Linked DNA regions of Xenopus tropicalis. The protein of the gene in region 1 purifies or fractionates together with the protein of each later gene. This does not show direct contact. Links are inferred from orthologs where the notes say so. Each region holds a gene or a part of one and is shown on either strand. Other genes may lie near its edges.

The links. Proteins that work in one complex are often made in the same cells at the same time.
Region 2: the proteins of cxxc1 (region 1) and bod1 purify together in Homo sapiens (affinity purification with mass spectrometry; 4 studies listed by BioGRID and IntAct, counting the BioPlex papers as one, with this or other methods). This does not show direct contact. The link is inferred for Xenopus tropicalis from reciprocal best matches to the Homo sapiens genes CXXC1 and BOD1.

Annotation. Positions count from the first base shown.
Region 1 is NC_030684.2:1,157,528-1,163,811, forward strand, and holds part of cxxc1 (CXXC-type zinc finger protein 1), read left to right. Parts: intron 1-3,539; coding exon 3,540-3,649; intron 3,650-3,814; coding exon 3,815-3,915; intron 3,916-5,270; coding exon 5,271-5,419; intron 5,420-6,284. UniProt on the Homo sapiens protein: Transcriptional activator that exhibits a unique DNA binding specificity for CpG unmethylated motifs with a preference for CpGG.
Region 2 is NC_030680.2:152,361,721-152,368,516, forward strand, and holds the start of bod1 (biorientation of chromosomes in cell division protein 1), read left to right. Parts: upstream 1-2,498; 5' UTR 2,499-2,555; intron 2,556-4,155; exon of another isoform or gene 4,156-4,246; intron 4,247-6,796. UniProt on the Homo sapiens protein: Required for proper chromosome biorientation through the detection or correction of syntelic attachments in mitotic spindles.

The DNA.
Region 1 (6,284 bases):
GCCCCCCAGCATTGTACTAATGGGCCCCACGGTACAGGGGGTTATACTGTGTCACACTGGCACTGCCCCCCAGCATTGTACTAATGGGCCCCACGGGTACAGGGGGTTATACTGTGTCACACTGGCACTGCCCCCCCAGCATTGTACTAATGGGCCCCACGGGTACAGGGGGTTATACTGTGTCACACTGGCACTGCCCCCCAGCATTGTACTAATGGGCCCCACGGGTACAGGGGGTTATACTGTGTCACACTGGCACTGCCCCCCAGCATTGTACTAATGGGCCCCACGGGTACAGGGGTTATACTGTGTCACACTGGCACTGCCCCCCAGCATTGTACTAATGGGCCCCACGGGTACAGGGGGTTATACTGTGTCACACTGGCACTGCCCCCCAGCATTGTACTAATGGGCCCCACGGGAACAGGGGGTTATACTGTGTCACACTGGCACTGCCCCCCAGCATTGTACTAATGGGCCCCACGGGTACAGGGGGTTATACTGTGTCACACTGGCACTGCCCCCCAGCATTGTACTAATGGGCCCCACGGGTACAGGGGGTTATACTGTGTCACACTGGCACTGCCCCCCCAGCATTGTACTAATGGGCCCCACGGGTAGAGGGGTTATACTGTGTCACACTGGCACTGCCCCCCCAGCATTGTACTAATGGCCCCACGGGTACAGGGGGTTATACTGTGTCACACTGGCACTGCCCCCCCAGCATTGTACTAATGGGCCCCACGGGAACAGGGGGTTATACTGTGTCACACTGGCACTGCCCCCCCAGCATTGTACTAATGGGCCCCACGGGTACAGGGGTTATACTGTGTCACACTGGCACTGCCCCCCCAGCATTGTACTAATGGGCCCCACGGGAACAGGGGGTTATACTGTGTCACACTGGCACTGCCCCCCAGCATTGTACTAATGGGCCCCACGGGTACAGGGGGTTATACTGTGTCACACTGGCACTGCCCCCCAGCATTGTACTAATGGGCCCCACGGGTACAGGGGGTTATACTGTGTCACACTGGCACTGCCCCCCCCAGCATTGTACTAATGGGCCCCACGGGTACAGGGGGTTATACTGTGTCACACTGGCACTGCCCCCCAGCATTGTACTAATGGGCCCCACGGGTACAGGGGGTTATACTGTGTCACACTGGCACTGCCCCCCCAGCATTGTACTAATGGGCCCCACGGGTACAGGGGTTATACTGTGTCACACTGGCACTGCCCCCCAGCATTGTACTAATGGGCCCCACAGGTACAGGGGGTTATACTGTGTCACACTGGCACTGCCCCCCAGCATTGTACTAATGGGCCCCACAGGTACAGGGGGTTATACTGTGTCACACTGGCACTGCCCCCCCAGCATTGTACTAATGGGCCCCACGGGTACAGGGGTTATACTGTGTCACACTGGCACTGCCCCCCCAGCATTGTACTAATGGGCCCCACAGGTACAGGGGTTATACTGTGTCACACTGGCACTGCCCCCCCAGCATTGTACTAATGGGCCCAACGGGTACAGGGGGTTATACTGTGTCACACTGGCACTGCCCCCCCAGCATTGTACTAATGGGCCCCACAGGTACAGGGGGTTATACTGTGTCACACTGGCACTGCCCCCCAGCATTGTACTAATGGGCCCCACAGGTACAGGGGGTTATACTGTGTCACACTGGCACTGCCCCCCCAGCATTGTACTAATGGGCCCCACGGGAACAGGGGGTTATACTGTGTCACACTGGCACTGCCCCCCCAGCATTGTACTAATGGGCCCCACGGGTACAGGGGGTTATACTGTGTCACACTGGCACTGCCCCCCCAGCATTGTACTAATGGGCCCCACGGGAACAGGGGGTTATACTGTGTCACACTGGCACTGCCCCCCAGCATTGTACTAATGGGCCCCACGGTACAGGGGGTTATACTGTGTCACACTGGCACTGCCCCCCAGCATTGTACTAATGGGCCCCACGGGTACAGGGGGTTATACTGTGTCACACTGGCACTGCCCCCCCCAGCATTGTACTAATGGGCCCCACGGGTACAGGGGGTTATACTGTGTCACACTGGCACTGCCCCCCAGCATTGTACTAATGGGCCCCACGGGTACAGGGGGTTATACTGTGTCACACTGGCACTGCCCCCCCAGCATTGTACTAATGGGCCCCACGGGTACAGGGGTTATACTGTGTCACACTGGCACTGCCCCCCAGCATTGTACTAATGGGCCCCACAGGTACAGGGGTTATACTGTGTCACACTGGCACTGCCCCCAGCATTGTACTAATGGGCCCCACAGGGTACAGGGGGTTATACTGTGTCACACTGGCACTGCCCCCCCAGCATTGTACTAATGGGCCCCACGGGTACAGGGGGTTATACTGTGTCACACTGGCACTGCCCCCCCAGCATTGTACTAATGGGCCCCACAGGTACAGGGGTTATACTGTGTCACACTGGCACTGCCCCCCAGCATTGTACTAATGGGCCCCACAGGTACAGGGGTTATACTGTGTCACACTGGCACTGCCCCCCAGCATTGTACTAATGGGCCCCACGGTACAGGGGGTTATACTGTGTCACACTGGCACTGCCCCCCAGCATTGTACTAATGGGCCCCACGGGTACAGGGGGTTATACTGTGTCACACTGGCACTGCCCCCCAGCATTGTACTAATGGGCCCCACGGGTACAGGGGGTTATACTGTGTCACACTGGCACTGCCCCCCCAGCATTGTACTAATGGGCCCCACGGGTACAGGGGGTTATACTGTGTCACACTGGCACTGCCCCCCAGCATTGTACTAATGGGCCCCACGGGTACAGGGGGTTATACTGTGTCACACTGGCACTGCCCCCCCAGCATTGTACTAATGGGCCCCACGGGTACAGGGGGTTATACTGTGTCACACTGGCACTGCCCCCCCAGCATTGTACTAATGGGCCCCACGGGTACAGGGGGTTATACTGTGTCACACTGGCACTGCCCCCAGCATTGTACTAATGGGCCCCACGGGTACAGGGGGTTATACTGTGTCACACTGGCACTGCCCCCCCAGCATTGTACTAATGGGCCCCACGGGTACAGGGGTTATACTGGTCACACTGGCACTGCCCCCCAGCATGTGTACTAATGGGCCCCACGGTACAGGGGTTATACTGTGTCACACTGGCACTGCCCCCCAGCATTGTACTAATGGGCCCCACGGGTACAGGGGGTTATACTGTGTCACACTGGCACTGCCCCCCCAGCATTGTACTAATGGGCCCCACGGGAACAGGGGGTTATACTATGCCAGCCTGGCACCTTTTAGGGTAGAAGCAAGAGATGGAAAGGGTAAAGACACTCTGCCCATGGGAAGGAATGATACTCAGAAGCTCACAATCTATGAGGAATAGGACCCCCCCCTCCCCATGTTGCAACAGGCACATTTCCCTTCCTGATCCCCTTAGTACAAATAGTAGTGGGGATAGGGCACAGCCACTGTGGCAGTTACTGATGGGGGGGTTCTTTGTTGCCCCAGGAGAGTGAATTTTCAGACGCGGACCTGACTGCGGCCGGGGACACGGAGGATGGAGAGAACGCCCCGGTGTATTGTATCTGCCGAAAGCCGGATATCAACTGCTTCATGATGTGAGAAATACACGTGTGTGATTGGGGGGGGGGTCATTCCATAGCAACATGCACCCCTCATCTAGCCAGGGGGGGCGTTAATGCCACTAACAGCCCATATAATGCCCCTAAGCTGACACCGTGCCCACTGCAGCCTGATCTCTATCCTGGTTTGTCTCTCGGCAGCGGCTGTGACAACTGTAACGAATGGTTCCACGGGCACTGCATCAACATCACCGAGAAGATGGCAAAGGCCATACGAGAGTGGTACTGCGTGCAATGCCGAGGTAAGCACCAAGGGGCATTATGGCAGGGGCGGGGGGTGTGGGAGGCAGTTCCGGTGGGGGTTAGAGGCCGGTAGGGCGGGGGATGTGGGGGGCAGTTCCGGTGGGGGTTAGAGGCCGGTAGGGGCGGGGGATGTGTGGGGGCAGTTCCGGTGGGGGGTTAGAGGCCGGTAGGGGCGGGGGTGTGGGAGGCAGTTCCGGGTGGGGGTTAGAGGCCGTAGGGGCGGGGGATGTGGGGGCAGTTCCGGTGGGGGTTAGAGGCCGGTAGGGGCGGGGATGTGGGGCAGTTCCGGTGGGGGTTAGAGGCCGGTAGGGGCGGGGGATGTGGGGGGCAGTTCCGGTGGGGGTTAGAGGGCTCGGTAGGGGGCGGGGGATGTGGGGGCAGTTCCGGTGGGGGTTAGAGGCCGGTAGGGGCGGGGGATGTGGGGGCAGTTCCGGTGGGGATTAGAGGGCCGGTAGGGGCGGGGGATGTGGGGGGCAGTTCCGGTGGGGGGTTAGAGGCCGGTAAGGTGCGGGGGATGTGGGGGGCAGTTCCGGTGGGGGTTAGAGGCCGGTAGGGGCGGGGGATGTGGGGGGCAGTTCCGGTGGGGGGTTAAGAGGGCCGGTAGGGCGGGGGATGTGGGGGGCAGTTCCGGTGGGGTTAGAGGCCGGTAGGGGCGGGGGATGTGGGGGGCAATTTCCGGTGGGGTTAGAGGCCGGTAGGGGCGGGGGATGTGGGGGCAGTTCCGGTGGGGGTTAGAGGCCGGTAGGGGCGGGGGATGTGGGGGGCAGTTCCGGTGGGGTTAGAGGCCGGTAGGGGCGGGGGATGTGGGGGCAGTTCCGGTGGGGGTTAGAGGCCGGTAGGGGCGGGGGATGTGGGGGGCAGTTCCGGTGGGGGTTAGAGGCCGGTAGGGGCGGGGGATGTGGGGGGCAGTTCCGGTGGGGTTAGAGGCCGGTAGGGGCGGGGGATGTGGGGGGCAGTTCCGGTGGGGGTTAGAGGCCGGTAGGGGCGGGGGATGTGGGGGGCAGTTCCGGTGGGGGTTAGAGGCCGGTAGGGGCGGGGGATGTGGGGGGCAGTTCCGGTGGGGGTTAGAGGCCGGTAGGGGCGGGGGGATGTGGGGGGCAGTTCCGGTGGGGTTAGAGGCCGGTAGGGGCGGGGGATGTGTGGGGCAGTTTCCCGGTGGGGTTAGAGGCCGGTAGGGGCGGGGGATGTGGGGGGCAGTTCCGGTGGGGGTTAGAGGCCGGTAGGGGCGGGGGATGTGGGGGGCAGTTCCGGTGGGGGTTAGAGGCCGGTAGGGGCGGGGGATGTGGGGGGCAGTTCCGGTGGGGGTTAGAGGCAGTAGAAATATATAAAGGTGTGCCTTTTGCCCACGTGCCAGACAAACACCCGCACCTTGAGATCAAATACAGACACAAGAAGTCGAAGGAGCGCGAGAGAGAAACGGAAAAGGATGAAAATGAAGAGACTGCAAAAAATGAAAAAAAGAAAAGCGGCAGCACCAGCAGCAGCAGCAACAAGGTACCCCGGGTAGGTACCTAATGTGTATTTACCTATATACCTGTGCTGCTGTACGTACAGGCTATGAGCAAACTTAGGGGGCTGTTCCTGCTGAATTGTGCTTAGTACAGGGGAATCCCTATGTGCCATAGTTTTATGGTATCTCTCTGTACAGGCTATGAGCAAACTTAGGGGGCTGTTCCTGCTGAATTGTGCTTAGTACAGGGGAATCCCTATGTGCCATAGTGTTATGGCATCTCTCTGTACAGGCTATGGGCAAACTTAGGGGGCTGTTCCTGCTGAATTGTGCTTAGTACAGGGGAATCCCTATGTGCCATAGTTTTATGGTATTTCTCTGTACAGGCTATGAGCAAACTTAGGGGGCTGTTCCTGCTGAATTGTGCTTAGTACAGGGGAATCCCTATGTGCCATAGTTTTATGGTATCTCTCTGTACAGGCTATGAGCAAACTTAGGGGGCTGTTCCTGCTGAATTGTGCTTAGTACAGGGGAATCCCTATGTGCCATAGTGTTATGGTATCTCTCTGTACAGGCTATGGGCAAACTTAGGGGGCTGTTCCTGCTGAATTGTGCTTAGTACAGGGGAATCCCTATGTGCCATAGTTTTATGGTATCTCTCTGTACAGGCTATGGGCAAACTTAGGGGGCTGTTCCTGCTGAATTGTGCTTAGTACAGGGGAATCCCTATGTGCCATAGTTTTATGGTATCTCTCTGTACAGGCTATGAGCAAACTTAGGGGGCTGTTCCTGCTGAATCGTGCTTAGTACAGGGGAATCTCTATTCCAGTCCAGTTTGCACCCAGACACTCAGTAGAACTCACATTGTAGGGCTGGAGGTTCCATGATATGGGGGTACGGAGTCAGTAAGACATGTGG
Region 2 (6,796 bases), on another chromosome or scaffold:
ATAGTAAGGGCAGAGAATGTCAGGGAAGGGGCAGTAACTATGTATAATGTGTATAGTAAGGGCAGGGAATGTCCGGGAAGGGGCAGTAACTATGTATAATGTGTATAGTAAGGGCAGAGAATGTCTGGGAAGGGGCAGTAACTATGTATAATGTGTATAGTAAGGGCAGGGAATGTCTGGGAAGGGGCAGTAACTATGTATAATGTATATGGTAGGGGCAGAGAATGTCAGGGAAGGGGCAGTAACTATGTATAATGTGTATAGTAAGGGCAGAGAATGTCAGGGAAGGGGCAGTAACTATGTATAATGTGTATAGTAAGGGCAGGGAATGTCTGGGAAGGGGCAGTAACTATGTATAATGTGTATAGTAAGGGCAGAGAATGTCAGGGAAGGGGCAGTAACTATGTATAATGTGTATAGTAAGGGCAGAGAATGTCTGGGAAGGGGCAGTAACTATGTATAATGTGTATAGTAAGGGCAGAGGATGTCTGGGAAGGGGCAGTAACTATGTATAATGTGTATAGTAAGGGCAGAGGATGTCTGGGAAGGGGCAGTAACTATGTATAATGTGTATAGTAAGGGCAGAGGATGTCTGGGAAGGGGCAGTAACTATGTATAATGTGTATAGTAGGGGCAGAGAATGTCCGGGAAGGGGCAGTAACTATGTATAATGTGTATAGTAGGGGCAGAGAATGTCCGGGAAGGGGCAGTAACTATGTATAATGTGTATAGTAGGGGCAGAGAATGTCTGGGAAGGGGCAGTAACTATGTATAATGTGTATAGTAAGGGCAGAGAATGTCTGGGAAGGGGCAGTAACTATGTATAATGTGTATAGTAAGGGCAGACAGACAGTAACTGTGAATATAGTAAGACAAAGTGGTGTTACAGAACTTTATTTCTGTGCCATTAAACAAATGGACTCCAAGTGGTTTTAAAGACTGTTTGGGGATGCTGGGAGTTGTAGTGTAGAGCTGCAGTCTGTATGATTGCTAGCTCTGTGGCACAGTATAGGCCTCTCAGGGAGACACAGAATGAAATGGAAATGGGAGAGTTAAACCTGAGGCAGGGATGGAGTCCGGCCTGGCATTACAGCTTTACACTAGCCTGTGCAACATGGCAGCACCACGGGCAGCATAAGGCAATACTGTATCTCTAACAGTGTTAATGCCATTCCCTGTTTAACCCTGTATTTCCCTGCATTGCTTTGCCACTAACTCACCCCCTTTCCCAGGATTCTGCTCCCCAGTATCCAGTGGCCGGATTCTATCTTTAGAGCTGCCTGTCATTACTGTTCCCCTCTGCCCCTAAAATCTGATTTCCCTGAGTATTTAAAGGTGTTTGTGGGGTAATCCCCACAAATAGGCTTAGTGCAATGGGCTTTTCCTGGGAAAGGGAATCGGGTTGGGATTGCACTTAATCTCTTTTCTGACCCCTCTGTCTGTAGAGTGGGGGTACAGTAGAGTGGGGGTACAGTAGAGTGGGGGTACAGTAGAGTGGGGGTACAGTAGAGTGGGGGTACAGTAGAGTGGGGGTACAGTATAATGTATCTTCTTTTTAGCGGTGCCTCTGGTCATGAATCTCTTTCCAAGTTGCAGAGTTTAAACAAGGGATGATGGGAGTTGTAGTTGGGGCACAGGTTGGAGGTATAAGATTCTTAAGTTACAACTTTTACTTCTGGCCCAAAACCATGTTTCGTATAATACACTGCAGAGCGCTGGGAGCTGTAGTTCAGCAGCTGGTGGCTCGTGCTTCTCTAACACTAACTGTAGCGCTTAGATTGATCTTGAGAGGATGCTGGGAAGTTTAGTCTAACTACACCTTTCCTGCATGCAGAGCAGCATAATCCCTTTCTGTAGGGCACAGGGGAAATTAAGGTTTTGGGGCATTAATTAGAACTATTTGTTGTGCAGGGGGTCATGTAATTATATTCCCAAATGTTAAACCAGATCTACTAACCCTGAGCAACCAACCAGACTTTTGCTTTTAAACATGTGATCGGCCAATCATACCTGCTGATTATCTGTTAGGCATACTAGCCCTAGCAACCAGGCAGTTGTGTGAATGACAGACTGGTAGATGAATAAGAAAAGGTCTGGAATGAAAAGATATTATTTATATATTTCACAATTTATATAGTAAATATACTATAATATGTATATATTGAAATATAGGCAATTGTCTCAAAATAATGTTTATATCATGCTAAAAGATAACAAACTTCCCAGCTGAACCCTCTAGCCAATTCCTGACCCATCTGCCTTCCCCACAGGTTTCCCTTTAGCCTCCGAAGTCGGACCGTCTCCCAGGCCTTATAACAATAAGGGCTGTTACCGGGGCTACTAGCCTAATGGCAGCGGCTGCATGAAGAGGAATGTCACTGAACCTGCCGCTTCTCCTCGATGGTGACAGTGTCCATGGTTGTGTGCCCTCCGGCTACTGCTGGTGCTGACAGGTGAGCTGCTTCTCTGCTACCTACAGGGTGATTCACTGGGGAATGCTGGGATACGGCAATGGGATCTGACCGAACTGTAACTCTTTATGGTGCTAGAGGCAGGTAAAATAATCTCTATATGCTGAATGCTTCTAGTTACAGCACTGGTAATGGCCCATATTGAATGTTGTGTGATCTGGGCTCCAGAGTTCCAATGGGATGTTAATGATATAGAGAGTACAGGGAAGAGCGACTAAGCTGATAAAGGGAATGGGCTCAGTTATGGGGAAAGGCTGGCCCAGCTGGGATTGGTTACACTGGGGAAGGGGCAGTTAAGGGGGGGTCACTATATATAAATATATAAGGGGGGGGCAGTAATGAAATAGAGAAAGTACAGGGAAGAGCGACTAAGCTGATAAAGGGAATGGGCTCAGTTATGGGGAAAGGCTGGCCCAGTTGGGATTGGTTACACTGGGGAAGGGGCAGTTAGGGGGGGGGGTCACTATATATAAATATATAAGGGGGGGCAGTAATGAAATAGAGAAAGTACAGGGAAGAGCGACTAAGCTGATAAAGGGAATGGGCTCAGTTATGGGGAAAGGCTGGCCCAGTTGGGATTGGTTACACTGGGGAAGGGGCAGTTAAGGGGGGGGGGTCACTATATATAAATATATAAGGGGGGGGCAGTAATGAAATAGAGAAAGTACAGGGAAGAGTGACTAAGCTGATAAAGGGAATGGGCTCAGTTATGGGGAAAGGCTGGCCCAGTTGGGATTGGTTACACTGGGGAAGGGGCAGTTAAGGGGGGGGGGTCACTATATATAAATATATAAGGGGGGGGCAGTAATGAAATAGAGAAAGTACAGGGAAGAGTGACTAAGCTGATAAAGGGAATGGGCTCAGTTATGGGGAAAGGCTGGCCCAGTTGGGATTGGTTACACTGGGGAAGGGGCAGTTAAGGGGGGGGGGTCACTATATATAAATATATAAGGGGGGGCAGTAATGAAATAGAGAAAGTACAGGGAAGAGCGACTAAGCTGATAAAGGGAATGGGCTCAGTTATGGGGAAAGGCTGGCCCAGTTGGGATTGGTTACACTGGGGAAGGGGCAGTTAAGGGGGGGAGGTCACTATATATAAATATATAAGGGGGGGCAGTAATGAAATAGAGAAAGTACAGGGAAGAGCGACTAAGCTGATAAAGTTGACTTGATACTGCATGATCCACAACCTGATGGTACAATTGTTCTGCTAATCTTATGGGTTTTACTATATAAACTAGTCTATAATACGTATTTTGATGCTTATAGATGTGAGTTAGTAGTAATTATAATAAGAAATAATAAATAAAAAGAGAGAGTAAGCAACATGGCAGCTTTGGATTTGGGAATTTGTTTGTTTGGCCCCAGCTGTGTTTGTCACACAAATGTTGGTTGCTGAGGCAGAAGACAAAGGGGCAGTTATACTAATGAGCAATTCCACCCCATGACTTTGTCCATAATTGCAGGACTAACCCACAATGTGTCGCTTGTGTCATTTGTTTGTATGGAGCTGTTCCTATGGAGTCACTGATGGTCTCACCGTGCTGCAGTGCTGTAAATAACAGAATGCAGAGACCATGTGAGACAGTGTGTTAAGAGATGGATGGTGGGAGACCACAGACCCCCTGATGTACCCCTCTCTTCATGGGCTTCTATGGGCACCTGGTATAATGAGATTTGGGGCAGTAAATAGGCCCCCCAGTATGATCTAATGATTGGCCCAAGGACTGAATAATTGGAAGTTCCCAGATACCCATAGGACATTGCAGTGCCAGGTAAGACTAAGAGTTAGGGTAAAAAAATTGATATGTTCAACCCTATTGGACAGAGGCCAGCTTAAAGGGGAAAGACAACCATTAACTGTTTTGCCTAGTGTCTGTAATGGTTATTTTTTTTTCTCTGCACTGCTGGTTCTGACTCCTGATACAGGATTTATAGTTATGTGTAACTGTCACTGTGTCTGTCCCTTTCCCTTCCCTGCACTGCTGGTTCTGACTCCTGATACAACTCCCCAATACCCATTCATTCCTCATTCTCACTGGGTTTATAGTTATGTGTAACTGTCACTGTGTCTGTCCCTTTCCCTTCCCTGCACTGCTGGTTCTGACTCCTGATACAACTCCCCAATATCCATTCATTCCTCATTCTCACTGGGTTAATAGTTATGTGTAACTGTCACTGTCCCTTTCCCTTCCCTGCACTGCTGGTTCTGACTCCTGATACAACTCCCCAATATCCATTCATTCCTCATTCTCACTGGGTTTATAGTTATGTGTAACTGTCACTGTGTCTGTCCCTTTCCCTTCCCTGCACTGCTGGTTCTGACTCCTGATACAACTCCCCAATATCCATTCATTCCTCATTCTCACTGGGTTTATAGTTATGTGTAACTGTCACTGTGTCTGTCCCTTTCCCTTCCCTGCACTGCTGGTTCTGACTCCTGATACAACTTCCCAATATCCATTCATCCCTCATTCTCACTGGGTTTATAGTTATGTGTAACTGTCACTGTGTCTGTCCCTTTCCCTTCCCTGCACTGCTGGTTCTGACTCCTGATACAACTCCCCAATATCCATTCATTCCTCATTCTCACTGGGTTTATAGTTATGTGTAACTGTCACTGTGTCTGTCCCTTTCCCTTCCCTGCACTGCTGGTTCTGACTCCTGATACAACTCCCCAATATCCATTCATTCCTCATTCTCACTGGGTTTATAGTTATGTGTAACTGTCACTGTGTCTGTCCCTTTCCCTTCCCTGCACTGCTGGTTCTGACTCCTGATACAACTTCCCAATATCCATTCATCCCTCATTCTCACTGGGTTTATAGTTATGTGTAACTGTCACTGTGTCTGTCCCTTTCCCTTCCCTGCACTGCTGGTTCTGACTCCTGATACAACTCCCCAATATCCATTCATCCCTCATTCTCACTGGGTTTATAGTTATGTGTAACTGTCACTGTGTCTGTCCCTTTCCCTTCCCTGCACTGCTGGTTCTGACTCCTGATACAACTCCCCAATATCCATTCATCCCTCATTCTCACTGGGTTTATAGTTATGTGTAACTGTCACTGTGTCTGTCTCTTCTCTGGTTCTGACTCTTGACACCATGTAGCAGAAGACAATTCTCCTCCCAGTCTGCTCACTAGCTGGCTTCTGTGATGTTCTTTAAAGAGCCAGAACCAGCAGTGCAGAGTCTGTTTCAGTTTTTCTTGTTACTGTAGAACCTGGGGTTGCTGGACACATAATGAAGCCATAGTAATATCCAAGTTCATGTTACGGAGATTTCCCCGGTGTTGCCTGTTATTTTTAGGTTAGTGCTGGTTTGTATCTCCATGTGCGCAGAAGCCCCGCCTTACATGCAGATCAGTTATTAGCAGATACCCACGTGCCCTGCTGCCATCTCTTACTTGTACTTATAAGTCAATAGAGATAAGTATTGTTTCTAAATCAATGGCTGCTGAGTCTCACTAAGGGGAAGCTGTCATCAATAACCTGCTTTGTTTGTGCTTAGTGAGTGGTGCTGGATACAGTAGGTACATGTTCCGGTAGCCTCACTGCCGTATCCAAGTCCATCTGGTCCTGTTCTGACACGAGTCACGAAGGGGCCATTAATCCTCCATCAGTGCTTCTGTTCTTTACATCTCTGTTGGGTTTGCCCTTAGCAACCAAACCTGTGTGTGCGAATGACAAGATGAAAAATGGTTAGGAGGAGACCAGCTGAGACAGATAAGCAAAAACTCTGGGAGTTATAGTTTCACCAGCGTCCTGCAGGACATACTGCATCTATATACTGTAAAAGATATATTGTATATAAATATTATACTTATACAGATATTCATTTCTATTATTCATGTGTGTTGTGCAATACTATTACATGGATGCGTCTATAGTTTAAATAAATACCCCGCTGTGTAGCCCCGGGGGCAGCCATTCCTGCACTGGTACAGCTGGGGTGTTTGCTACAGAAACCCTACTATAGTTTATATAAATACCCCGCTGTGTAGCCCCGGGGGCAGCCATTCCTGCACTGGTACAGCTGGGGTGTTTGCTACAGAAACCCTACTATAGTTTATATAAACACCCCGCTGTGTAGCCCCGGGGGCAGCCGTTCCTGCACCGGTACAGCTGGGGTGTTTGCTACAGAAACCCTACTATAGTTTATATAAATACCCCGCTGTGTAGCCCCGGGGGCAGCCATTCCTGCACCGGTACAGCTGGGGTGTTTGCTACAGAAACCCTACTATAGTTTATATAAATACCCCGCTGTGTAGCCCCGGGGGCAGCCATTCCTGCACTGGTACAGCTGGGGTGTTTGCTACAGAAAC